7 linked regions of the Cricetulus griseus genome follow. Each later gene encodes a partner of the first gene's protein in a complex. Links are inferred from orthologs where the notes say so. Each region holds a gene or a part of one and is shown in the gene's direction. Other genes may lie near its edges. The genes, in order: guanine nucleotide-binding protein G(s) subunit alpha isoforms XLas-like, Fzd7, Hrh2, Gpr6, Fzd6, olfactory receptor 51E2 and Vipr1.

Region 1 (4,098 bases):
CTAAATGGGTCACGATCCCACGTATCCCACCCAGTCTCCATTCCCCCTTCCTGAGAAGGCAGAAGCCCGTGCTAGGTGGGGGTCTTCCGGTAAGCCCCGCGCCCCCTCCCCTATCTGCGCCGCCGGCGCCGCAGCGGTAACCGCGTAGGGGTCTTTGCTCGATTTTGCCGCAGTGTACCGCCGAGACCCTTATTTCTACTGCGTCACCATCCACATAAACAAGCCGAAGCCTGATGCGTCACGCTAGGCTATTGCTGAGAGCCCCCCCACCGGAAGTGTAATGGGGAAGGGGCATATTGAAGGGGGATTTACCGAAGCTATCCTTGACAAACAGCAAACAAAAACATTTAAAAAAAAATAATAAAATTACCCCGGAGCATTTAAAAAACAAACTGCGTGTTCATATTTGACAACTCATCGCCCTTCATCCCCTCTCCGCCTTTCCGGTGGGCTCACGACCACCTGTCGCATTTTTATGATCGCTCCTCTACCCCTTCCCGGGCATCCTAAAGGCTCATTTCCCCAACTCAGAGCTGAGAACGGGTAATTGCCCGAGGCTGGGGTCCTCGGATAAGGTGTTTGCCGCAGACTGGGGTAATCTGGGGTGACAAAGTCCTCCTGCAGTCCCTCCTCCCCTCGGGAAGAATCTGATGGGGCGGGAGGGTTTCAGCGCCTGTACTCTGTCAGACCAATGCCCACGTCTTACGTCACGTGGCCCAGCAACGCAGGAGAGCGCGCTCTCTCTCTCTGGCCAGGGGAAAAGCGAGGAGCTCAGACTCAGAAGCAGTCTGGGAGAGGAGAGGAAGGAGGCGAACCTCCCTGCGAGGCCTGCGCTCATCAGCCCCCATACCCAAAGTCGGGAACTGCCGGCACCGGGAGCCAGCTCCCGGAGCCGGCTTAGCACTGAGACCGGCGTCCTCTGGCGGCAGAGAAAGAGTTTTACTAACGATTTTCGAGACGAATCGGCACGCTCTTAGATGCCAAGAAGGCGGGGCCAAAGTTAGCAAAGTAAGAAGAGAGTCCAGAAAAGTCGTGGGAGTGGCTGGCCGACCGCAACTTGAAGGCAGAAGTGTGGCTCCGGAGGCTCCGGGTCTTCCCAGCAAGAAATGAGGTACTTCAGCCACGATCTTGAGTTTTAGCCTCTCAGAATCTATCCTTACAAAGATTGGAAACTGAGGCTGGAGAACTTTCCAGCCAATACTCGAATATTTTAAAAGAAAAAATTTTTTGACCCTAGTTTGGCTGGGTGCTCCGTCTTACGGGGCCCCAAATTTATTTTAAAAAACCGCAACCGTGTTATGGGCATGCGCAGCCGCGTCCACGGCAACAATATGCCAGGACAACACGATATCCCCGGTGAAGTCGGGGAGCAGCCCGAGCAAGAACCTTTGGAGGCCCCAGGGGCAGTTGCCCCCGGTGCTGGGCTTGGCCCAGCCGAAGAAATGGAGGCCGAACCGTCTGCCAATGAGCCCATCCCCGCCGAGAACGGCGCTGAGGGCTATGGACCCCAGGGGGTCTCCGGAACCGACTTTCAGGGCGTCCACCAGGCGGTCGAGGAAGTCGGAGTGGGTGGAGACTATAGCCCCCCACCAGAGGAATCCATGCCATTTGAGACGAAACAGCCCAGCCCCGGAGGTTTCTGGCCCACCCTGGAGCAGCCTGGAAGATCTGGGGCCCAAGCAGGTCTCAAAACCTTCAATCCAGCGCTTTTGGAGCCCGGGACCCCCAGTGGTGCGAGCCCCGCCCAGGGAACCTACAGCCCCCCACCAGAAGAAGCTATGCCATTTGAGTTCAACGAGCCTGCCCAGGAAGCCCATAGCCAGTCGCCCTTGCCAGTCCCAGACCTTGCGCCAGGAGGTCCGGAGGCAGAGGTCCTCAGAGCACTTCCCGCGGAGCCCGGGAACATCAGATTTGCAATCGCTAGCTTGCGAGATGACTACAGCCCTCCACCTGAAGAGTCTGTGCCGTTTGGGCCCGATGGAGAAGAATTTGGGGGCGATAGCCCACCCCCGGGCCTCCCCCGAGTCACCCGACAAGTCGGCTTTGGCGGCGAGTTCCCGACAGCCGCGGTCCCGAGTGCGCTCAGTCTCGCTCCCGCCGAGAACGCGCCTCCCCTCTGGGTCCACAGCGCCATTGACAGACCGTTCAGCGAGGCTATCAGAGCTCCCGCTAACTTCGCCTGCGACAGTCCCCCAATGGAGATCTCCAGACCCCCGCTGGAGATTGGCAGAGCCTCCTCTAGGGTCGGCGACGACACAACTGTCAATATGGACGGCCCCCCAATCGCAAGTGTTGGCCCGCCCATCGAAGTCTCCGGAGCACAAGATAAGAGCGAGCGCGGCGCAGAGAGACCCCCAGTTGAGCGAGAAGCAGCCGACATGGAAGGAAGCCCAACCACCGCTGCTGCGGTGGAAGGAAAAGTCCCTTCTCCGGAGAGAAGAGACGGATCCTTCACCCAGCCAGAAGCCATGGATGACAAGCCAGCCTCAGCTGCCCAGACCGTCGCTACCGAACAAGATGCCGCCTCCGCGGCTGCCAGCGGCGGCTCTCCTCCAGCCCCAGCAACACCCGCGGATCTCCAAACCGATCCCGAAGAAGTCGGAGCCACCCCAGCTGTCCGCGCGGAGCCTGACGGAGGAGCAGCCCCGGTCATCGCAGCAGCAGCCACCCCTGCCGAGTCTGAAGGTGGAGGAGATCCAGCCGCCGCGGAGGAGCCAGCCTCCGAGGCAGTCCCTGCCGCCAAGGCCGAGCCTGCCTCCGGGGCAGCCCCCGTCACCCAGGTGGAGCCCGCAGCGGCGGAAGTCTCTGCTAAGGCAGAGCCTGCCGCCCGGGCAGCCCCTGTCACCCCTCCGGAGCCCGCTCCCCGGCCAATCCCCACTGCCAGAGCCCATCCGGCTGCCGGGGCAGTCCCTGGCGCCCCAGCGATGCCAGCCTCCGCTCGGGCAACTGCCGCTAGGGCAGCCTATGCAGGTCCTCTGGTCTGGGGAGCCAGGTCACTCTCGGCTACTCCTGCCGCCCGGGCATGCCTCCCGGCCCGTGCAGCTGCCGCCGCCCGGGCAGCCTCTGCTGCCCGGGCAGTCGCTGCGGGCCACCCAATCTCTGTCGCCCGGTCAATGTCTGCCTCCCGGGCATACCCTCCCGCCCCGAGCAGGGCCCATCTTAGACCCCCCAGCCCCGAGATCCAGGTTGCTGACCCGCCTACTCCGCGGCCTGCTCCGAGGCCGAGCGCCTGGCCAGACAAGTATGAACGTGGCCGAAGCTGCTGCAGGTACGAGGAGGTATCATCCGTCATCTGCGAGATTGACTCCTCCAGCGATGAGTCGGAAGAAGGGGCCAACGGCTGCTTCCAGTACCTTCTGCGACGAAACCGCCGCCCCGGCCAGACCCGGAGCCACACGGTCGGATGCAACCCAATCCGCAACTTCTTCACCAGAACCTTTGGAAGCTGCTTCGGAGCCCCCGAGAGAGCCCGTTCCCTCAGCCCCGGGAAGGCCAAGGATCCTTTTGAAGAGAGGCGCAAACAGATGCGCAAAGAGGCCATTGAGATGCGAGAGCAGAAACGCGCAGATAAGAAACGCAGCAAGGCCATCGACAAGCAACTGGAGGAGGAGAAGATGGATTACATGTGCACACACCGCCTGCTGCTTCTAGGTAATGCGGCATCTTCTGCCCCTGGGCAGTAGGGCCGCCCTGGGCACCCGGGGAGGAGGTGGTAGGGCCTTCCGGTGGGGCTTGGGCCTTGACCACGGGAGGAGGGGGTCTGGAAACCCTGATAGAAGTTCCACGGAGGGACCCCAACTCTGCCCTGGGGGTGGGAGAGGGGATTTTTTGAGGGTTCGGGTGGCCGAAGTATATACCCTCCAGGGAGAAAAGTGGTGCCGAGCGACACTGAGGGTCGTTACCGGCCGGAGGCCAGCGCCAGCGCCAGCGATCGTAGGCTGGACAGGCGGGGGCGTGAGGTGAGCCCAGAACTGCTGGGGAGGGCCCTTCGGGGCTCCCCCGGCTTAATTGTTCGTGACCGCGGTGGGCTAGGGCCATCGGGGTGCGCGCCCCCGCCTCGCCTGGCACGGCTGCTTCGACTCAGACAGCTTGTTGTTG
Region 2 (4,125 bases), on another chromosome or scaffold:
TCCTGGAGGCAATGACTCCTGCCAACATTCAACATTCAAACTGATCAAAAATCTCTCATATACCGGCAACCAACTGAGACAGGTAGAAAGTAGGACTCAGCCAGGAATGACGTTTTTTTGAAAGTAAGACTTCAGGGACGACAGAGAGATTCAACTTGTCACTTCCCTGCCCGGGAATTCATAATATTCATGATATTCCTTGCTGGCCCCTCTGAGAGAGCAGAGGTCCCTTAGTAACTTCCGACCGGTCCGGGACAGGCAGACAAGGCGCACGAGCGCCCAGTGCCTGGAGCAGGGTTAAGATTTGACCGAGGACAAAAGAACGCTTGCCAATCAGAAAAACGCTATCCCAGAAGGAAAATAACCCCTCTTTGTGTCTCAAAAGCCCTTTAATTAGCAAATGCCCTGGTTTCTAACGCGCTTTAAAACTTTTCTATGTAGATTCCAAATGCAAAGATCAAATGGTTGCTTCTGCAACGAAAACGGGACCCCCGAAGGCCACACAGGGCAACCGAAGGCGCTCAGTAAATCGTACGGAGAGTCCCGGGTACTCGGTCTCAGGTTGCTTTCATAAGCATTCCCCCAGCACTGCCTTAGCGTCCTCCAACCCCACCCCCAACCTCTCGGGCTCCCTACGCTCCCCACAGTGCGCGCGGGCGGGGTGGCTGGCTCTTGAGTCCCGCGCACCCCCAGCTCTGGGCCCTCTCCTCCGAGGGTCTGCACTTCCTCCCGCCACAAGTCCCCACCTCGGCCGACTCGGGTTTCTCCTTCCAGGAGGCCCCCTTCTTTGTAACTGGGGGGAGGGAGAGGGGATTGTGGTTTCATGTGGTCGTTTGGGTATGGGGAGAAAAGAGCGATCTTCAGTCGCAGCCCCTTCCCGACCCACACTGATGCTAACCAAAAGCCTCCCGCCCAAGCCAGCCAGGCTAACGTGACTCTGGGTCACGTCTCTCCGCCCAAGCGCTGCGCTATTCTCAGCGTCTCGCCGAAGCCTTTGGCGAATGCGCCCTTCTGCTCAGGAATGTGTGTTTTAGGGTATCCGGAAGAGGAACCAATCTTTCAAACAAATTCCCTTTCTGGTGCGTTCTTCTCCCCTGAGCAAATTCTGGGTAAAAGTTTCTCCTAACTTTTCTCTCCCAGTCCCCCGCCCCTCCCCTCAGGAATCCGCCCAGAGCGCTTCAGGCACCGCCTTCCTCGTTCCCTCGGCCGCCCCTTCCGACTTCCACCCAATCGGAAGGCGTCTACAGAGAAAACAAAGCGCGCTATTGGGCCTCCGGAGGGCTCGGGGCCCGCCCCCGGAGTGGTTTGTGAATGGGGGGAGGGGAGGGGGCGGGGCGGCCCGAAACCCTGCGAGCCCGACGCTTCTTCTAGCCACCAGCGCGGCTCCCAGGCGTTACTCTGCGCTCCTTCCCTGGCGGGCGGCGGCGGACGCGGGGACTCGCCGGCCGGGACTGAGCCGGCAGGAGAGGCCGAGAGCAGACAGGCCGCGGGTGCAGGAGCCTCGGCGCTTGGGATTCCGCGCAACTGGGTTTCCAAAAAGAACTCGCCCAGCTCTTAGCTCCTGGGGACCGATCGGACTCAAATTGAGAACCAGACGTTTGACTGAAACTTGGGGCCGACCTTCCCCGGGCTGAAGGAGGCTCGAGGTTCGGAGGAGGAGGAGGAGGAGGCGGCGGCCCGCGGGGCCTCGAGGCGAGAAGGCGGAGCTGCACCGCCGAGGCGGCGGCCGGGGCGAGCAGGCGGGGACGCGGGGCTCTGGTCTGGCGGAGGCCCTACCCGGTGTGGGGACGTGGGCATCGCCGTGCGCCCGGGGCTCGAGAGACTTGGGCAAACTTTGAAAGGTAACCGGAGACGCTTGGAGCCCGTCGCCCAAGAGAAAGCCGCACCGTTACGTCTCGGCGGGGAGGGTAAGGCGACACCCCACCCCCGATCCCCCAGCCCAGGCCCAGGAGTTTGAGCCCCCGGCGGCCGCGTGAGTGCCACGCGGAGGCGGCTGCGGCGCCCCCTCGACTGGCGGCCTCGCCCCCGCCGTGCAGGCACCTAGCGCCCTCGGCTCCGCGCCGCCCACGGCCCGGCCCCGGCGCCGGGAGGACTCTCATGCGCCGGGCGCGGCGGCGCCTCCCTGCATCCAAGCCGCTCCCCAGCGCCTCGTCTTTTTCCCCCAGCTGAGAACGCCACTGCACTCGCGGCCCGCGATGCGGGGCCCCGGCACTGCGGCGTCGCACTCGCCCCTGGGCCTGTGCGCCCTGCTGCTGGCGCTTCTGGGCGCGCTGCCTGCGGGCACCCGGGCTCAGCCGTACCACGGCGAGAAGGGCATCTCGGTACCGGACCACGGCTTCTGCCAGCCCATCTCCATCCCGTTGTGCACGGATATCGCCTACAACCAGACCATCTTGCCCAACCTGCTGGGCCACACGAACCAAGAGGACGCCGGCCTCGAGGTGCACCAGTTCTACCCGCTGGTGAAGGTGCAGTGTTCTCCCGAGCTGCGCTTCTTTTTATGCTCCATGTACGCGCCCGTATGCACGGTGCTCGACCAAGCCATTCCTCCGTGCCGCTCCCTGTGCGAGCGCGCCCGCCAAGGCTGCGAGGCTCTCATGAACAAGTTCGGCTTCCAGTGGCCTGAGCGGCTGCGTTGCGAGAACTTCCCGGTGCACGGCGCCGGCGAGATCTGCGTGGGCCAGAACACGTCTGACGGCTCCGGGGGCGCGGGCGGCAGTCCCACCGCCTACCCTACTGCTCCCTACCTGCCAGACCCGCCTTTCACTGCCATGCCCCCCTCAGATGGCAGAGGCCGGTGGTCTTTCCCCTTCTCGTGCCCGCGCCAGCTCAAAGTGCCCCCCTACCTGGGCTACCGCTTCCTAGGTGAGCGCGATTGCGGTGCCCCGTGTGAGCCCGGCCGTGCTAACGGCCTTATGTACTTTAAAGAGGAGGAGAGGCGTTTCGCCCGCCTCTGGGTGGGTGTGTGGTCGGTGCTGTGCTGCGCCTCGACGCTCTTCACGGTGCTCACCTACCTAGTGGACATGCGGCGCTTCAGCTACCCAGAGCGACCCATCATCTTCCTCTCGGGCTGCTACTTCATGGTGGCCGTGGCGCACGTGGCGGGCTTCCTGCTGGAGGACCGTGCCGTGTGCGTGGAGCGCTTCTCGGACGATGGCTACCGCACGGTGGCGCAGGGCACCAAGAAGGAGGGCTGCACCATCCTCTTCATGGTGCTTTACTTCTTCGGCATGGCCAGCTCCATCTGGTGGGTCATTCTGTCCCTCACTTGGTTCCTGGCAGCTGGCATGAAGTGGGGCCACGAGGCCATCGAGGCTAACTCGCAGTACTTTCATCTGGCCGCATGGGCTGTGCCGGCAGTCAAGACAATCACCATCTTGGCCATGGGCCAGGTGGACGGGGACCTTCTCAGTGGAGTGTGCTACGTGGGCCTGTCTAGTGTGGATGCGCTGCGGGGCTTCGTGCTTGCGCCCCTCTTCGTCTACCTCTTCATCGGTACGTCCTTCCTCCTGGCCGGCTTTGTGTCTCTCTTCCGCATTCGCACCATCATGAAGCACGACGGCACCAAGACCGAGAAACTGGAGAAGCTCATGGTGCGCATCGGCGTCTTCAGCGTGCTCTACACGGTGCCGGCCACCATCGTGCTGGCCTGCTACTTTTACGAGCAGGCCTTCCGCGAGCACTGGGAGCGCACCTGGCTCCTACAGACCTGCAAGAGCTACGCTGTGCCCTGCCCTCCGGGTCACTTCCCGCCCATGAGCCCCGACTTCACAGTCTTCATGATCAAGTACCTGATGACCATGATCGTGGGCATCACTACCGGCTTCTGGATCTGGTCTGGCAAGACCCTGCAGTCATGGCGTCGTTTCTACCACAGACTCAGCCACAGCAGCAAGGGGGAGACTGCGGTATGAGCCCCGGTCCTTCTCCCAACCTTGCCACTTCTCCCTCCTTGTAGGAGGAGAGGCATGGTAGGGAAAGAACTGCTGGGTGGGGACTTGTTTCTGTAGGCTACCCCCTCCTCCACTGAGCTTTAACATGGAAGTGAGAAGTTAATTGGAGGTGAGAAGAGATTTGGGGTTAGAGGTGGTTTTGAGAGAGGGCCTGAGTGAAAAGTCAAAAGGC
Region 3 (2,953 bases), on another chromosome or scaffold:
ACTTGATTGTTGTTCTTAATGTATATATTTTTGTATTAGGTTTAGAACCTTCTTGTTTAGACAAGAAGGGGAAGTGTAGTGGGTATTCACTCTGCCCATGACCTTGGGATATCTGGCCTGAAGGAGGTCTTGTCTGCCTACTTGACCTCTTATAAGGAAGGAGGGAGGGGGTCGCTCACTCTCTTGGGTGGTGAAGACTGGGCCAGGTAATGTGAAGCAGTGTGTGATCGGTCCCCTGCTTCCCAAGGACTCTGGGACTGGATTTACCATATCCTGTATTTGTGAATGTATTTTCCCCTTTTATATCTTAGTAAGTCCTTGATATCCCTTAAACAGATACACGAGGATTTCTCATTACAGTTCCTTGTCCATCACAAAGCTTGACTGGAACACAGCCCACGCACTCTTTTGCGCATGGTCCTGTGTGGCTTCTTTTATGCTACAGTGGCTGAGTTGTCAATTCAGCAGACACCCCACAGGCTACAAAGAAAGGAATACAGGCTGCCTGGTTCTTTCTCTGAAAATCTTCCAGTCCCCAGTTTAGAGTGCTCCCCACGTGTAATAAGAGTAAATTTTATGCATTTCTTTATCCACTCATTCAATGTATCATTAATCAACAGATAACAAATGCCTCCAGGTGGGGTCAGGCACCAGCAAGCAGCTGGGAGCAGATGAAAGCAGTCCTCTCCTAGACCCACCCTTCCATTTATTTCTTCCTCATGGTATTCTAGCCTTTACATCATGGTACCCTTTGCTGTCCCATCATGTGCTCTGACCATCTTGGTCTTCCCTAAGGAAGGGTACCTGGAAGAGTCCCCATGCCTCCTAGTTTCTCACCAGGTGTTGGAAGTAAGAAAGACTTACCTTGGAACAGGCCATGCTGTTGGTCTAATTATGATGTGCTAAACACTCAATCTTTGCCTCTTCAGCTGCTGTGACCCCAGAGAGGGCAGCTAATAGTCCTGACCTTATGCCATGGATGGAAGCAGGCACTAGCCATGGAGAAGGACATGACAGCCTATGTGTATGATCCCTTGCACAAACCAAAACCACCTCAAGACACAGCCACCAGTGCCTCAGCCTCCATGAGAAATCTAGAAGGTAGATGCATACTACAGACCTGGAAGGAATGTGACTTGGAAGACCAGCTGAGGACTGCGGTTTGAACCGCGAAGGCCCTAGTCTTACTTTATTCTTATTTATGTCCTGCACTTCACAAGCAACAGCTTGATTAGTACTACAACAGCATTAGGCCAGTTATTAGACCCTCCCCAACACCCCTCTTTGGCTTGGTTGGGAACTTGAAGCCCAGTGGTTGGAGCTGGAAGAGAAGTGGCCAAGGCCAAGGTTGAGTATAGAAGCTACAGGGCCCCAGAATGGAGCCCAATGGCACGATTCATTCTTGTTGCTTAGACTCTACTGTACTGAAAGTCACCATCAGTTTGATCCTCACCACCCTCATCCTCATCACCGTCGCTGGCAACGTGGTCGTCTGCCTGGCTGTCAGCTTGAACCGTCGGCTCCGCAGTCTGACCAATTGCTTCATTGTGTCTTTGGCGGCGACCGACCTGCTTCTTGGCCTCCTGGTGCTGCCCTTCTCTGCCATTTACCAGCTCTCTTTCAAGTGGAGCTTTGGCCAGGTTTTCTGCAACATCTACACCAGCCTGGATGTGATGCTCTGCACAGCCTCCATCCTTAACCTCTTCATGATCAGCTTGGACCGCTACTGCGCTGTCACGGACCCATTGAGGTACCCTGTGCTGGTCACCCCAGTTCGCGTTGCCATTTCTTTGGTCTTTATTTGGGTCATTTCCATCACCCTATCTTTCCTGTCTATTCACCTGGGATGGAACAGCAGAAATGAGACCAGAAGAGACAATGATACCTTCAAGTGCAAAGTTCAGGTCAATGAGGTCTACGGGCTGGTGGACGGGCTGGTCACCTTCTACCTGCCTCTTCTCATCATGTGTGTCACCTACTACAGAATCTTTAAGATCGCCAGGGAGCAGGCCAAAAGGATCAACCACATCAGCTCCTGGAAGGCAGCCACCATTCGAGAGCACAAAGCCACCGTGACGCTGGCTGCAGTCATGGGAGCTTTCGTCATCTGCTGGTTTCCCTACTTCACCACATTTGTCTATCGTGGACTGAGAGGGGACGATGCCATCAACGAGGTGGTTGAAGGCATTGTTCTATGGCTAGGCTACGCCAATTCAGCCCTGAACCCAATCCTGTACGCTGCCCTCAACAGAGACTTCCGCATGGCTTACCAACAGCTCTTCCACTGCAGGCTTGCCAGCCACAACTCCCAAAAACCATCCCTGAGGCTGAACAATTCTCTGCTGTCCAGGAACCAAAGCCAAGAAGGCAGATGGCAGGAGGAGAAGCCCCTGAAGCTCCAAGTGAGGAGTGGGACAGAAATCACACACCCCCAGGGAACCCCAGACAGGTAAACATCTGTGTGGGTCAGAGGAGACTTCCTCCCACCCCCACCTCTGTGTGGGTGGCACTGAGACCATTCTGTGCGCATTTTACAGAAATCATCTCTCAATGGCTCTCTTGGGTAGAACATTTGCCTTGTTTTTAAAAGGCCACATTAACGGTAAGAGAGATCTCATCAAGGGCCTCTGATTTGGGACCTGGACAAAGTGCTACTCACCCCAGAACTCAGAGGCCCTTCTTTCTAACTAAATGGTCTTTCCACTCGGGTGGCCTAAGTAGAAGGCCCAGCTCTGCCACTTAGGAGTTACGAGTGACCAGTTAGACCCTTAGAGGGTCATTCAAAAGCCATGTGCAAATCAGCTCTTCCTTGGGGAGTGTTCAAGTTAGTACGGAGGGAAAATGGCAGGGGTCAGAAGATGGGACCTCAGTGGAAACAAAAGTGTGGGCCGTGTGTGAGTAGAGCTTGGGGAAAGACAGACATAGTGGCGGGGGGGGGGGCGGTGCTAGGGGC
Region 4 (3,490 bases), on another chromosome or scaffold:
GCAGCAGCAAAGAAGGGCGGAGATCGAGGAGAAACCTGCAGAGCAGGACTCAGAAAGACAATGGGAGAGAGGACTGCTCAGGTAAACTCCTCCTGGAGAAGAAGCCAGCTTGTCCCAGCTGTCCTTCTTATTTCCTTTTCCCTGCTCTCCTGGGCTCCTCCTCATTTCTTCCCTGGCTCTACTCAAGCGATGCAAACGCTGTGAACACTTAAAAGAGAACTACTTTACCCGAGTTCTCTCTCTCTCTCTCTCTCTCTCTCTCTCTCTCTCTCTCTCTCTCTCTCTCTGTCTCTGTCTCTCTCTCTCCAGATGCCCCTGTCCCAACCTCTCCTCCATGGCTGCTTCACCTACCCCTGGGTGATCCTTGGCTCTGACCTTTGCTTTGTGGCTTATTGTCACTCATCCCTCGCCTTCCTTTTCCTGCTCACTCTCTGTGCCTGGCCTCAGGTCTTGTTCCTTTCTCCCTCTCCTCTCATCCCCATCCCATTCCTGGAGGTTTCTGGATTGGTGGAGGCTCTGGCTTCTCCTCTCTTCTGGAGCTCTCTGAGATGTCTCTGTGAGGGGTGGGGGACGTCAAGAAGGATTGGCCTGGCGGGTGTGGCGAGTAATCCGCTGGAACCAGAACCCAGAGCCTGACGTCACCGGGCCCCGCCTGTCAATCTCGGGCGGGCGCGCTGCTCGCAGCCTCCTTCTCTGCCACTGCCTCTCTGTCACTCGCGGTGGTGGTTCAACGACAGGAGACCAGCGCCTTCCTCCTGGACGCCGGGGCCGCCTCCTGCAGGCAGCTGTTTGGCCCATGCAGAGAGCATAGCCGGGCACACAGCCACGGAGCGCATGACCAGAGACTTCCCGGAGCCCTGACTCCCCAGGTGAGTGGCAGGCTCCCAGGGGTATTTTGAGCGTGTGGGGAAGGCGACTTGGTAAGAGACAGTCCTGGAGTAAGTCTGTCCAGGAGTCAGAGAATCGGAGCGAGGTTTAACCACCGTACCTAACACACTCCCCCTTAGTCCTTTTGTTCCCAATTCCTGACCCGAGGTCTCTGGCTCCTTGCTCTGCATGTTGAGACCTGAAACTTCGCTTTCAGCACCTCGGACAGCGTCTTTGCCCAGCTAAGACCATTTCCAAGAGGACTGACTTATTTGAAAGCTTGTGCAAGCCCATATATATATTTACCAGATTGTCCATGCGAGTGCACAGTGTAATCTGTATGTGTATCTGTGCCAAAGCTCAGAAGCCCCGTGTATATCATTCATTCATTCATTCATTCAACAGGTGCTTACTTATTTGGGGTTCGCCTGTTATCCCCAGTTCCCCACTATGTTCCATGCGCCCGAGCTGGGATATGCAATTTGAGTGAGGCATTTTGAACAGGGCACCTGCGTGAGAAAGTTCCTTGGTAGCCTGGAGAGTGCACCTGACAATCTGCGGTCCCTTTTTGTGCAGGGAGCAACATCTGGCGGCGATGAACGCGAGCGCCGCCTCGCTCAACGAGTCCCAGGTGGTGGCAGTGGCCGCTGAGGGAGCGGCAGCTGCGGCCACAGCAGCAGGGGCACCGGACACCAGCGAATGGGGACCCCCAGCAGCATCCGCGGCGCTGGGAGGCGGCGGCGGACCTAATGGGTCACTGGAGCTGTCATCGCAGCTGCCAGCAGGGCCGTCGGGACTACTGCTTTCGGCAGTGAATCCCTGGGATGTGTTGCTGTGTGTGTCGGGGACCGTGATCGCAGGCGAAAATGCGCTTGTGGTGGCGCTCATTGCGTCCACTCCCGCGCTGCGCACACCCATGTTTGTGCTCGTGGGTAGTCTGGCCACTGCCGACCTGCTGGCGGGCTGTGGCCTCATCCTACACTTCGTGTTCCAATACGTGGTGCCCTCGGAAACTGTGAGCCTGCTCATGGTGGGCTTCTTGGTGGCCTCCTTCGCCGCCTCAGTCAGCAGCCTGCTTGCTATCACAGTGGACCGTTACCTGTCCCTTTACAACGCGCTCACCTACTATTCGCGCCGGACCCTGTTGGGCGTGCACCTCTTGCTGGCAGCCACCTGGACAGTGTCCCTCGCATTGGGGTTGCTGCCCGTGCTAGGCTGGAACTGCTTGGCTGACCGCTCATCCTGCAGCGTGGTGCGCCCCCTGACACGCAGCCACGTGGCGCTGCTCTCCACTTCCTTCTTTGTGGTCTTCGGCATCATGCTGCACCTGTACGTGCGCATCTGCCAGGTGGTCTGGCGCCACGCCCACCAGATCGCCTTGCAGCAGCACTGCCTAGCGCCGCCCCACCTAGCGGCCACCAGAAAGGGAGTGGGAACTCTGGCCGTGGTGCTAGGCACCTTTGGGGCCAGCTGGCTGCCCTTTGCCATCTATTGTGTGGTGGGTAGTCAAGAGGACCCGGCCATCTACACCTATGTCACCCTGCTGCCTGCCACCTATAACTCCATGATCAATCCCATCATCTATGCCTTCCGCAACCAGGAGATCCAGCGTGCCTTGTGGCTCCTGTTCTGTGGCTGTTTCCAATCCAAAGTGCCATTCCGCTCCAGGTCCCCCAGTGAGGTCTGAAGGGCTTCTCTGTGTCCCCTCACCAACACCACAAACCCAACATGCCAGCCTTTGGTGAGCTTCTAGGTGCCTGCTGATGAACTCTCGAGATCTCAATGGTGTGACTCTGACTCTACAGGAGACAAGGGACTGACAATGAGGCTTGTTGGCACTTTACATATACAGTGTATACACATGTACATATATATACAAGTATTTGTATCTTCTGGAGGTGTTCAGGACCTGGAGCTTCCTGTTCTATGAAAAACCAACAAACAAGATGTGGTTGTGTACTCAGTTGTACATCACAAATGTACATCACATTTGTCAAGTGAAGACATTCCAATACTGCTTAATAATAGCACTTTATTTTTAGCTGCTGAAATGCCAAAACAGTGTTGCCATTCCACGAGCAGGAGAATGGGAGTCAAAGGTGTATTTTTGTTGTATGTGATAGAATATTTTGCTGCACATGCATCAATAAACTACAACATATTTTGTACACAAATAAACACATTATAAAAATATAATCTGGGGTATGGCTGGATTATGAATATGGAAGCTGAATTATGAGTCTGTTTATTTTTAAAGTATATTACATAGCATCTCCTTAGAGAAAACCTCATACAAAGAAATCATATATATTTACATATGTGTCCTTACATTTTCCCTGAAATACCATCTCCAGATCATGAGGTGGGGTAAGGTCATGGAGGAAGTACCATTCATAGACAGTATTCACAGAACACAGAAAGGCTGTATGCTACTGGTACAAGTTATTGTGCTCCCTTGGTGATGTGTGCTCCCTTGGAGTTAGAAAGACATATTTCAGAGGACAAAGCAATTCAAGCCACATAGGTGCAGCTATAAATCCTGAAGCCACAACTTCCCAACATAACTTTATAAATATGATTTATTCACATTGTTGTTAATTGGATCTAGTAGCAAGGAGTAAGG
Region 5 (2,646 bases), on another chromosome or scaffold:
TCTAGCTGGCATCATTTCCTTGAATCACGTTAGACAAGTTATACAACACGACGGCCGAAACCAAGAGAAACTAAAGAAGTTCATGATTCGAATTGGAGTCTTCAGTGGCCTGTATCTTGTGCCCTTGGTGACACTTCTAGGTTGCTACGTCTATGAGCTAGTGAACAGGGTCACCTGGGAGATAACTTGGTTCTCCGATCATTGTCGCCAGTACCGCATCCCGTGTCCTTTTCAGGTAGGAGCGACCGTTTGGATTATGACACTGTTTACTCGTGGTCAGAAAATCAGACTTCAGTTCGAGAAGTCCTAACAGACATAGGGAGTCATTCCCTGTGCTCCGGTCAGGCTGGGTGACGTGCTAAGAGGTCATTCCTCAATCCGTAGCTCTAGTTACAGTTATAATACCGCAAGTCTCCCTGGGGCGTTGGTGGTGCACGCCTTTAGTCCCAGCACCTGGGAGGCAGAGGGATGCTGATCTCTGGTCTATAGAGTGAGTGACAGGACAGACTCCAAAGCTACATAGAGAAACCCTGTCTCGAAACCTCCCCCCCAAAAAACAAAAATAATGATTGTAGTTATAATAATAATAATTAATAATAATAATAATAATAATAATAATAATACAGCAAGTCTCCTGTAGCTATTTTAAGCATTAAACTGAAAGCAACAATTAAATTGGGTTAAAAAATCAGATTAACAATTATGAAGAATAGGCCTCGTCAGAGGTATAAAAGGAAAAGTAAATTCTACTAAATTAGAAAGGTTTTTATTTTTTTTCTTTCAGCTCCTCTATTAGTAGGAAAACCCTATGTTTGGGTTTAACCTTTTGTGCAGTGTATGCTTCTAAAAATAGAAATTGGTTTTTGCCCAGCCCATCCTGTCATTCTTAACTGAGAAGAACACACAATTGAAAATGTGTCTCTGACGCTTATGAGTATTATAAGGTGCTTTTTAAAGTGGAAAATTGTAAATTCCTGAAAACATGTAATTTCTTAAAGCATCTCAGTTGAATTTTTGAAGAAAATTTGGGGTTTCCAGAACATAAATCTTAAGAGTATGCAGAGTGCTTGTATACTTGGGTGGTTGAGGTAGAAGAATTGTTGAGTTTGAAGTCAGGCTGGGCAATGTAGTGAGATTCTGTCTCAAATAAATTGAGTAATTCAAGGAAACTAGGATTTATCTGGCTGGGGGTGTCGCTTGGTGATGGAGAACTTCCCCAGCCCTCGAACCCTGGACCTGATGGCTTCTCCATTCCTCTTCGAGCCTCTGCCTTTCTCCCTCTGTCCCATCCATCCCTCCCTGTTTTCCTCCTGTTTTTTAGCTCCTCCTGGAGAATCACTTTAAATAATACAGGGATAGGCAGCGCAGCATTATTTGCAGTTGGAACTAGGTGGGAAGCAACGTAAACACGTTTAAATAGGGGCTAGTTGAGGAAAGCAGAGTCCACAAACGAACATGCCTTTAAAAGCAAAGCTCTGTATGTGCCCTGGGCATATTAATTAGCACAAAAAACAAGATACAATGCTATCCGTGTAATACTTTTGTACTCGGACACTCACAACAGCATTTGAAAATGGATGCTCTAAACAAAATTTTATGAAATTTCTACATTTTCACATCTTAATAATATTGGTTTTGTGGTAGCCAGACAAATTTTAACAACATGTGCATTGATGCAGAAGGACTAGAAAATGTGTTTTTTAATTTTTGTTTTTATGTATGAGTGTGTGCCTGCATGCATGTATATGCACCCATGTATGCTTTGTGCCACCAGGGACAGTAGGGAGCACTGGGACGGTTATAGGTGGTTGTGACCCAGCATGTGGGTGGTGGGAGCTGAACTTGGGTCCTCTGCAGGAGTTGTCAGTGCTCCCAACTGCTGGCCTTCTCTCCAGCCCCTAAATATATTTTAACGTAGATCATAGTGAAGGAAAATAGGTAAATACTTAGACAGATACCTTAGTAATTACAAGAGGCCACTTTACCAGTAGGGGAGGAAGCAGTCAAGAAGTCACACCAAGATTCTGAAAACCGTTAGTACTTTTTTCTGTTGAGAGCCACATTTTGACACACATAAAAGTTCCTTGTTCAGAACGTCATAAAACTGTGCTGGACTTAAACCGTTGTTCCTCTGTGTTATTTACTTCAAACAGACTGAAGGTTTATAATTTGCACCAACTTTGACATTGCAGATTTTTCTTTATATTTTAAGTATGTTGTTTTTTATTTTGTTTTTGTAGGCAAACCCAGGAGCTCGACCAGACCTGGCTTTATTTATGATAAAATATCTGATGACATTAATCGTTGGCATCTCTGCAGTCTTCTGGGTTGGAAGCAAAAAGACCTGCACAGAATGGGCCGGCTTCTTCAAACGAAACCGCAAGCGAGAGTAAGTGTGGACTGATGTCTTAAGATTGTTTAAGAGTAAACAGACAAAAATACCCATGAGTTTACCTAAAGTGCTAGCAATTCAAACCATGGAATGCTCTGTAATATCAGCACATACTTAGGAGTAAATAGTTTGTCTTGGTTCTTTATATATATTGTATCTGATGTGCTGTATGTAGATTTTTTGGTTTTTCATTTCCCACTGATTTGGCTATCAGCCTCCTTGTGGTGCAGACTTCATAGCTGTGGCTGGACAAT
Region 6 (2,824 bases), on another chromosome or scaffold:
GAGATAAACAAATTAATCAGGGTACCCTGGATACTGTCAACAAGGACACCTGCATCATCTGCTTCTTAGCATCAAAGCCCCTGATTCTCATACCCAAGCCAGTAACTGCTGAAGTTAACCAGCTCTAAAAACAGGACATTAGGGAGTCTGGCAGAGAAAGAGTTTTATGTGAGTACTCAGATGATAAGATGGGAATGAGATTGAAACAAAGCAACACTGGGCTCCGGAAAACCGAGAGAAGAAACCCCTCCCTTGACATGAATGACTGACTGGCACAGATCCCAAGGGAAATCCTCAGAATACCATCATAAAAAAATCAGTAATACTGCTCCCCAAATCAGGGCTTTGAAAACACCCTTGGTGGTGACTTCCAAGCAACCAGTTAGCTGCTGGCCAGCTACTGGAGGTAATGGATCCTGCCGGCATCTTCATTTGCAAAGAGAGAGTTCCAAGGAGCTGGTACGTTTGGTTCTCTGAGTCCAGATAAGTTTCCTTTTTCTTTTCTTTTCTTTCTCTTTTTTTGAAAAGCATTTTCTATTCCTCCTGCCTTGGAAAATCCTTTATTGTCTCTTCCATCTACCTAATTCTGCTCATGCTCCAAGACTGAAATGAAATGAACATCATGTCTAGGAAAGCTCCTCTGTCTTTGTCATCCCCTGAAATCAATGAATCTCTTCTGCTAGCTTTACCACAATGCTCTAATGTATCTGTTACTTATCCATCTCCTGTCCTAAGCAAGCCTTGTGGAGGCCCAAAGGAATGATTCCCAGATCTGTGTCTCAAAAACAGCATTGTGCTTAACAGGTCATTCAAGCAATTACTTCTGAAATTTGAATTAATAAATATAAAGAGAGAGAGAGGGAGGAGAAAGAAAAATGGTGAAGGAAGGAAAGCAGAAATAAAGAAGGATAAAACGAAGATGAGAATAACAGGGAAGGGATGGGGAGAGCAAGGGAAGGTGATATCTCTATCTGAAAAGTTAGTTAATATGGTAATTTTACAAAATGTAGAGTGCCTAGTATCCAGACAGTCCAGGTAGAGACAAAAAGAGGTTTCGAGGAAGTCACACTTCGGGGATAAGTATTTTTCCACCAAAGCTTTATTTTGAAATTTTAAGTGTCCCTTAGTAATGGTGAATAATAAACTAGTTTTCAGCATTTACATTTCTTCCTTTGGAAAAGAAAGCCATGTAGCTTATGAAAGAGCTGAGGTGTAGATGGAGGCAGAGTGAGAAGGGAGGGAGGGCTCCAGGGGACTCTCTGGAGAATCAAGCTCCAGGGGACTCTCTCATTCTGCTCCATGTCCTTGCAGGCTGTCAGTGTGACCTCACCCTCTCCAGTACTACTCACTTGGTGTCAGCGATGAGCTCCTGCAATTTCACACATGCCACCTTCGTGCTTATTGGTATCCCAGGACTGGAAGAAGCTCAATTTTGGTTTGGCTTCCCACTGCTTTCCATGTATGCTGTGGCATTGTTTGGAAACTGCATCGTCGTGTTCATCGTAAGGACAGAGCGAAGCTTGCATGCACCCATGTACCTCTTTCTCTGCATGCTGGCAGCTATTGATCTGGCTTTGTCCACATCCACCATGCCCAAGATCCTCGCCCTCTTTTGGTTTGATTCCCGGGAGATTACTTTTGATGCCTGTCTTGCCCAGATGTTCTTCATTCATGCTCTCTCGGCAGTTGAATCTACCATCCTGCTGGCCATGGCCTTTGACCGTTATGTGGCCATCTGCCACCCACTGCGTCATGCTGCTGTGCTCAACAATACAGTGACAGCCCAAATCGGCATGGTGGCTCTGGTCCGGGGATCCCTATTCTTTTTCCCACTCCCACTACTGATCAAGCGGCTGGCCTTCTGTCACTCCAATGTGCTCTCCCATTCCTATTGTGTCCATCAGGATGTGATGAAGTTGGCCTATACAGACACATTGCCCAATGTAGTCTATGGCCTAACTGCCATTCTGCTCGTCATGGGTGTAGATGTCATGTTCATCTCCTTGTCCTATTTTCTGATTATACGAACAGTTCTGCAACTGCCTTCCAAGTCAGAGCGAGCTAAGGCATTTGGAACCTGTGTGTCACACATTGGTGTGGTTCTGGCTTTCTATGTACCACTCATTGGCTTATCAGTGGTACACCGTTTTGGAAACAGCCTAGACCCTATTGTGCATGTTCTCATGGGGGATGTCTACCTTCTGCTGCCCCCGGTGATCAATCCCATCATCTATGGTGCTAAGACAAAGCAGATCAGAACACGGGTGCTGGCTATGCTCAAGATCAGCTGTGACAAGGACATTGAAGCTGGAGGAAACACGTGACCCTTACCATTCCATCACCCTTGTTCTAGAGAGCTTAATATAGTAATTGATCAGACCTGTTTAATTCCCATAAGCACATTAGTGCTTTTCCCTGGATGGGATAGTGAACTAAAGTATGGTTTATCTTCATCGTGGATATAATGTGAAATAATATATATCAATGAATATTGTGTTGCTTAAAGACTCTGCTATAAAATGAGACACAGTGATGAAAAAGAAAATAGGAATTGTGATTTAAACTAACTGGCCAGGTTTGTCATTTGGATGGAATAGGTTCAAATTATCAATGACTTTGTTTTATTCATACTCTCTTTGTCGTGAAGCTATTGTTCAGCTGTTATGCATAACTTCTAAAATGGTAGCCAAGATTTGTTTCCTTCACTTCAAGTTTATTATTCACTACCCAGGAACATATCCAAACTCTAAATAGTAATGCTTATGAATGTATCATGTATGCTTAAGATGGTCCAGGCTGAATGACAAGTGTTTTTCAGCCTTTC
Region 7 (4,296 bases), on another chromosome or scaffold:
GTGTCCAGTTAGCCCAATCTCTATAAGGAAGTAGAAACGGCAGGGAGCGCCCCCGGTATCCATTTACCTCCATGCCCTGATGTGTGTAGGAGGCCTGGCTGAGAATCCGAGACTAATAAAGTTCGGGGCAGAGAGAGCAAGGAAGGTGCGGTGCACTGATGTAGGGGATGAGGTGGGGGGGGGGTAGAAAGCTCCACCCAGCCAACAGAAATGGAGGAAGGCCAGGGGTCGCTTCCAGACTTTTCTGTAACCGTCCTCAAGGCCACGCCCACAGCCCTAGTTTCCCACGTTGCAGGTTGGGAAGGCCAGAGAGTCCTCGGGGAGATTCCCGCGCCCCTGCTGGCCAGAAAGCGCCTGGAGACGGACCTCCTCCAGAGGATCGCACACTGCACTGGCGCGCAGGGACACGAGGCTCTCTCCGTGTCTGCACCGCACCCGGGCCCTCCTCCCTCCTTCTGTCCCGTCGCGCCGTCAGCCCCCCACATCACCTTCTCACTGGGACCGCCCGAGCTCTCGGAAAGACGGGGCAGGCATCTGCCCTGGTTCCCTAATAAGTGGCGCGCAGAGAGCTCTGAGCGGGTGACTCCGCGCCCCACGCCAGCGCACAGTAAACCGAGTCCCAAAGACAAGCGTAGGAGGCAGCGCAGTCCCGGCTGGCCGGCCGGCGCGATCTTGGAGCCGCAGCGCGGGGCACCGCTCCCTGCTCCTGGTTCCTGGGGACCTCAGACTCTGGGAGGAAGGGTCTGCGGGCAGCCCGGGCCCGCGAACAGGTACAGCTTCGGTCCCCGCGCCGTGGCGCTGGCGCGTTGACTCCGCGTCCCTCGCAAGCTGCGCGGGCCGAGACGCGTCCATCTCTGAGTGCGCCCTGCGAAGGCCCTAGAGCGGCCTGGAGGAACCCCGGGTCAGGGCTCCCGGCTCCGGCTGCGCTCCCCTCGGCTTCTCCCCGGCCACAGACGGCTCCGGCAGCGCGATCCGCGGGACCCCGTTGGAACCCAGTCTGGAGCCCCGGAAAGCGGCGGACCCTTCTGGTCCAGCAATCTGGGCTGCGCGCGGCGTGGGAACCAAGGAGGCGGCCGCTCCTCTCCACCCACCCGGTCCCCGTCCCCCTGGAGCGGACGGCCGGAGGGGCGCGCTGCCGGGGACCGAGGGCCGGGGGCGCGGCCTGGGCGGGGAGAGCAGGTGCGGGCGCGGGAACGCCGAGCGGTGCGGAGCCGCTAGGACGACGCCAGCTGAGGCTCCCGACGACGCACACCGCTAGCGGACTCCGCGCTCACGCCCCCGGGCGCCCAGGCTCCGCCCCCTACCTGCGCCGAGGCCCCGCCTCCGCCGCGCCATTGGGCGACCCCGCTGCCCGTCAGACGAGCCCCCGCCGCCCTCTCCAGGCCGGAGCTGCGCCTCTCAGCGCGGGGGCCGCCGGCCCGCGCCTCTCTGCCGAGCTGCAGCAGCCGCAGACCCCGCAACCGCGGCGGCCGCCTGCGGCGGGCTCAGGGCGGACCATGCGCCCTTCGAGCGCACCGCCTGCCCGCTGGCTCTGCCTGCTGGCAGGAGCCCTCGCCTGCGCCCTGGGACCCGCGGTGAGTGTGCGCCCCTCCACCCGGATCCCCGGAATGAGGGAGCTGCGGGGGCGGAGGATCTGGGGCCATCTGGCCATCGGGGGGCAGCAGGAGCGCGGTTCTCATCTTCTCTCTCCACCCGGGACCGAGTCTAGCCCAGAGGCGTGGGAGCTCGATGGCACCGGGTCCCTCCCAGCACAGCCTAGAGGGCTCACCTCGGGGCGATCTCAGGCAGCGGTGGAGAGGTTGAGGGCGAGAGGGAGCCCCAGCCTGGCGTTGCGAGGAGTATCTGTGGGGGTGCGTGGGGAGGAGAGCTGGGGGTGGCAGGACCTGGTGAGATGGGAGATCCGGTAGACTGTGAGGTGGAAAGGAGGCTGTGAGGGTCTGCAAGCGTCTCTGGGCATTATGTGAACTTGTGGGATATGAAGACCTCCGCTAGCAGCAGATGCAGCGTTCATGCCTGTGGCCTGGGAAGGGGTCGTTGGTATCTTATGGGTGACAGGACTGTCCCCTGTGCTCTGCCTCCTCTAACTATAGGATGGTGGGCAGAGAAAGGTCAGAGTTGGTGGCAGGGACTGGCATGTGCTGGGGAAAGCAGGGGCCCTTGCTCTGCCTCCGACCTCTTCTTCCTCGCACACCGGTATGTGTGTGGGTGTGATCCTGTGGCTGTGGATGGATCGCCAGGCCTGTGGGGCAGATGCGGCTGGGTGGCCTTCTCTGAGAGTAAGGAGGATCTCAAGACTAGGTCTGCCCATTTTACAGAAGGGCAAATGAGGCCACAGGAGCCACACCTGTCCTCGCCAGCCGTACTTGGGTAGAGGTGATCGTCTTCCTCCCTTTGCTCCTGGCCTGTGGGTCTGCTGCTTCAAGACAGTCTTTTCCCAGGTGTTTTCTGGTGGAAACAGCAGGCTGTCTGGAGGAGGGCGGGGAATCTTGGTCACCTAGTGGGTTCTCTCCACGGTTACCTCCCCTTATCATCGCCTGCGCCAGAGCAGGAATTGGGAGGTGAATCTGTGTCCACCTAGCTGGTGTCTGGCACACCCTCACCTGGGAGGGCTCATCCTCTGGTGAAGGTGCAGCCCTCTGAGAACTGCCCCCTCCTCTAGTTCAGAGTCCCACCTCCTCACACTCCACACTCCGTCTAACTCTGTCTCTTCACGTCACAGTCTTCAGGCCACATAGCAGCAACTCTCCAGCTCTCCCAACTCCGGGTCCCAGCTACTCAGGTTCATTTTGGGGTCTTTGCACAACTGGAGGTCTCCAGGTGCCCTCCATCTGGACATAGCTTGAGCCCAGCCCCTCCAATCCCTTCTTCTTGTCTTCCCGGGTCTTATTCATTCAGCACCACTTCTGGTTTCCTCTTCCTGACTGCTTCAGATCTCCCACTCTGACCCCATCCTTCCGTTCCACTACCCGTCCCGTCTGAGCTGCTCTGCCCCTCATGTGGAGTCAGACTTACTGTCTGCTTGGTCCAGTTCAGGGCCCGGCCCACAAAAGAAGGGGAAGGGACTCCGCCTGGCCTGGAGGAGGGTCCCTGTTCTTGCCTTGCCATCCTTACTTGCTCCCTCCTGGAACGGACACCCAGTGTTCCTGCTCCAGCCGGACTTGGGGGGGACATGTTATCAGAGCCATAAAATGGCAGCTGCAGAGTTCACATTGAAGGCACAGAGCCTTATCGCTCTGTTTATGGGGCCCTGCCTTGGCCTGGGAAGGGAAATCTTTGAACAGGGAAGCCAAAAAAAAAAAAAAAAAAAAAAAAAAAAAAAAGGAAAGGAAAAAGAAAAGAAACCCTCTGGTGCCCGGTGTCCCAGAGAAGGAAGTAAAGTATGTCCCAAGGTCTCCCGTAGCTCCTGTCCCCCAGGGCAGCAGACAGATGCACAGTGCCAAGCTGGTGGGGACACTCAGACTAGAGACAGTCTGAGGTCCTTAAGAGTTTCCGCTGCAGGAGCACAGCACAGCCAGTGACTTCGAATGGATGTGGGGCACAGCCTCTAAGAACTGAGGGACGGGGCTGCTGTGACAGCAGACAGACAGACAGACAGACAGACAGACAGACAGACAGACCCCCTTGGAAGAAAAATGAAGTTTGGCTACATTGGCCAACCCTCAACTGTAAACTGTGAAAACAGCCTTTGCTAGCCTGGCCCCAGAAGGTGGAGAGAAGCCCAGTCCCTGGGTCCCCTTAGAACCTGGATGGCTGGGATGAAGGGCAAGGCTGGCTCCTCTGAGTATCCCCAGACAGGTGGAAGTCCTGCTTCTGAGGGTCACACCTCACTGGAGGAGTCCTTCCTGGCCACTACTATGAACCTTTCCAGGGTCCTCTCACTACTGCCCAGGCCTCTGGCCTCAGCAGACCTCACTGAACTTTAGGAAATATGGTGGCTACTGGGCCAGGCTACTTTCTGGACTAGAGACAACCTTAGTTATTCCTGTTCAGGACTCCCAGGGCCTCCCTGAAAGACAGAAGCCTCTAGAGGTTTATGCCTCCCCCTCCTAGACTCTGGAGGCCTAGCCTCCTCTGAGGCTTCTGCAGCTTGCATTGGGGTCACAGCTTAGGACTGGAGCCTTAAACCCTGTCCTACCCCACAGCCATGCCTAGTTGGCTTGGAAAACATCTCTAACCTCTATAGAAGAACCTGTTTTCCCCATTTCTGACTGGATGAGAGAACCCTGGGCCCAGTGTGAAGGAGAATTGGGAGGGCAGAGCTAGCCCCACTTTCTACTCTGAACCCTAGGTCCCACA

The links.
Region 2: the proteins of guanine nucleotide-binding protein G(s) subunit alpha isoforms XLas-like (region 1) and Fzd7 are in contact, whole or in part, in a cryo-EM structure (PDB 9EW2), measured with the Homo sapiens proteins. The link is inferred for Cricetulus griseus from reciprocal best matches to the Homo sapiens genes GNAS and FZD7. Residues at the interface, in NP_000507.1 of Homo sapiens: Asp381, Gln384, Arg385, His387, Leu388, Gln390, Tyr391, Glu392, Leu393, Leu394; in NP_003498.1 of Homo sapiens: Pro285, Ala364, Lys368, Trp369, Gly370, His371, Ile374, Ile450, Ile453, Met454, Asp457, Thr459, Lys463, Leu464, Leu467, Lys552.
Region 3: the proteins of guanine nucleotide-binding protein G(s) subunit alpha isoforms XLas-like (region 1) and Hrh2 are in contact, whole or in part, in a cryo-EM structure (PDB 9IXJ), measured with the Homo sapiens proteins. The link is inferred for Cricetulus griseus from reciprocal best matches to the Homo sapiens genes GNAS and HRH2. Residues at the interface, in NP_000507.1 of Homo sapiens: Gln35, Arg38, Ala39, His41, Asp215, Lys216, Val217, Asp343, Leu346, Arg347, Thr350, Tyr358, Phe376, Arg380, Asp381, Ile383, Gln384, Arg385, His387, Leu388, Arg389, Gln390, Tyr391, Glu392, Leu393, Leu394; in XP_006714928.1 of Homo sapiens: Arg116, Ala119, Val120, Met121, Pro123, Leu124, Arg125, Tyr126, Pro127, Val128, Ile205, Val208, Ala209, Gln212, Ala213, Arg215, Ile216, Ile219, Ser220, Trp222, Lys223, Lys231, Ala232, Thr235, Leu236, Leu291, Asn292, Arg293, Asp294, Arg296.
Region 4: the proteins of guanine nucleotide-binding protein G(s) subunit alpha isoforms XLas-like (region 1) and Gpr6 are in contact, whole or in part, in a cryo-EM structure (PDB 8TYW), measured with the Homo sapiens proteins. The link is inferred for Cricetulus griseus from reciprocal best matches to the Homo sapiens genes GNAS and GPR6. Residues at the interface, in NP_000507.1 of Homo sapiens: Gln35, Arg38, His41, Val217, Phe219, Asp323, Asp343, Leu346, Ser349, Thr350, Arg356, Tyr358, Cys359, Phe376, Arg380, Asp381, Ile383, Gln384, Arg385, His387, Leu388, Gln390, Tyr391, Glu392, Leu393, Leu394; in NP_005275.1 of Homo sapiens: Met107, Asp165, Arg166, Ser169, Leu170, Ala173, Leu174, Thr175, Tyr176, Tyr177, Leu182, Ile248, Val252, Arg254, His255, Ala256, Gln258, Ile259, Leu261, Gln262, Gln263, His264, Lys276, Gly277, Thr280, Leu281, Arg332, Asn333, Gln334, Glu335.
Region 5: the proteins of guanine nucleotide-binding protein G(s) subunit alpha isoforms XLas-like (region 1) and Fzd6 are in contact, whole or in part, in a cryo-EM structure (PDB 8JHB), measured with the Homo sapiens proteins. The link is inferred for Cricetulus griseus from reciprocal best matches to the Homo sapiens genes GNAS and FZD6. Residues at the interface, in NP_000507.1 of Homo sapiens: Gln384, Leu388, Gln390, Tyr391, Glu392, Leu393, Leu394; in NP_001158087.1 of Homo sapiens: Arg226, Ala310, Lys314, Ser316, Cys317, Val396, Gln407, Lys409, Leu410, Phe413.
Region 6: the proteins of guanine nucleotide-binding protein G(s) subunit alpha isoforms XLas-like (region 1) and olfactory receptor 51E2 are in contact, whole or in part, in a cryo-EM structure (PDB 8F76), measured with the Homo sapiens proteins. The link is inferred for Cricetulus griseus from reciprocal best matches to the Homo sapiens genes GNAS and OR51E2. Residues at the interface, in NP_000507.1 of Homo sapiens: Gln31, Gln35, Arg38, His41, Asp215, Val217, Phe219, Tyr358, Phe376, Cys379, Arg380, Ile383, Gln384, Arg385, His387, Leu388, Arg389, Gln390, Tyr391, Glu392, Leu393, Leu394; in NP_110401.1 of Homo sapiens: Met58, Tyr59, Asp120, Arg121, Ala124, Ile125, Cys126, His127, Pro128, Leu129, Arg130, His131, Ala132, Leu135, Asn136, Asn137, Ile220, Thr223, Val224, Leu227, Pro228, Ser229, Glu232, Lys235, Ala236, Thr239, Cys240, Lys294, Thr295, Lys296.
Region 7: the proteins of guanine nucleotide-binding protein G(s) subunit alpha isoforms XLas-like (region 1) and Vipr1 are in contact, whole or in part, in a cryo-EM structure (PDB 8E3Z), measured with the Homo sapiens proteins. The link is inferred for Cricetulus griseus from reciprocal best matches to the Homo sapiens genes GNAS and VIPR1. Residues at the interface, in NP_000507.1 of Homo sapiens: Gln35, His41, Val217, Phe219, Asp323, Arg342, Asp343, Leu346, Tyr358, Pro361, Phe376, Cys379, Arg380, Asp381, Ile383, Gln384, Arg385, His387, Leu388, Gln390, Tyr391, Glu392, Leu393, Leu394; in NP_004615.2 of Homo sapiens: Arg174, His178, Tyr239, Leu240, Leu243, Leu244, Ala245, Val246, Ser247, Phe248, Arg252, Leu319, Lys322, Leu323, Pro326, Asp327, Ile328, Arg329, Lys330, Ser342, Leu345, Leu346, Leu391, Asn392, Gly393.

What each region holds. Positions count from the first base shown.
Region 1 is NC_048599.1:4,771,606-4,775,703, reverse strand, and holds the start of guanine nucleotide-binding protein G(s) subunit alpha isoforms XLas-like, read left to right. Parts: upstream 1-1,298; coding exon 1,299-3,651; intron 3,652-3,864; coding exon 3,865-4,098. UniProt on the Homo sapiens protein: Guanine nucleotide-binding proteins (G proteins) function as transducers in numerous signaling pathways controlled by G protein-coupled receptors (GPCRs).
Region 2 is NC_048595.1:413,755,485-413,759,609, forward strand, and holds the start of Fzd7 (frizzled-7), read left to right. Parts: upstream 1-1,325; 5' UTR 1,326-2,195; coding exon 2,196-3,914; 3' UTR 3,915-4,125. UniProt on the Homo sapiens protein: Receptor for Wnt proteins.
Region 3 is NC_048596.1:273,264,966-273,267,918, forward strand, and holds Hrh2 (histamine H2 receptor), read left to right. Parts: upstream 1-1,376; coding exon 1,377-2,453; downstream 2,454-2,953. UniProt on the Homo sapiens protein: The H2 subclass of histamine receptors mediates gastric acid secretion. Also appears to regulate gastrointestinal motility and intestinal secretion. Possible role in regulating cell growth and differentiation.
Region 4 is NC_048595.1:263,550,278-263,553,767, reverse strand, and holds Gpr6 (G-protein coupled receptor 6), read left to right. Parts: upstream 1-1,462; coding exon 1,463-2,554; 3' UTR 2,555-2,990; downstream 2,991-3,490. UniProt on the Homo sapiens protein: Orphan receptor with constitutive G(s) signaling activity that activate cyclic AMP. Promotes neurite outgrowth and blocks myelin inhibition in neurons.
Region 5 is NC_048603.1:12,938,597-12,941,242, reverse strand, and holds part of Fzd6 (frizzled-6), read left to right. Parts: coding exon 1-235; intron 236-2,240; coding exon 2,241-2,389; intron 2,390-2,646. UniProt on the Homo sapiens protein: Receptor for Wnt proteins.
Region 6 is NC_048596.1:96,622,213-96,625,036, forward strand, and holds olfactory receptor 51E2, read left to right. Parts: upstream 1-1,361; coding exon 1,362-2,324; downstream 2,325-2,824. UniProt on the Homo sapiens protein: Olfactory receptor. Activated by the odorant, beta-ionone, a synthetic terpenoid. The activity of this receptor is probably mediated by G-proteins leading to the elevation of intracellular Ca(2+), cAMP and activation of the protein kinases PKA and MAPK3/MAPK1.
Region 7 is NC_048597.1:228,643,537-228,647,832, forward strand, and holds the start of Vipr1 (vasoactive intestinal polypeptide receptor 1), read left to right. Parts: upstream 1-1,496; coding exon 1,497-1,574; intron 1,575-4,296. UniProt on the Homo sapiens protein: G protein-coupled receptor activated by the neuropeptides vasoactive intestinal peptide (VIP) and pituitary adenylate cyclase-activating polypeptide (ADCYAP1/PACAP).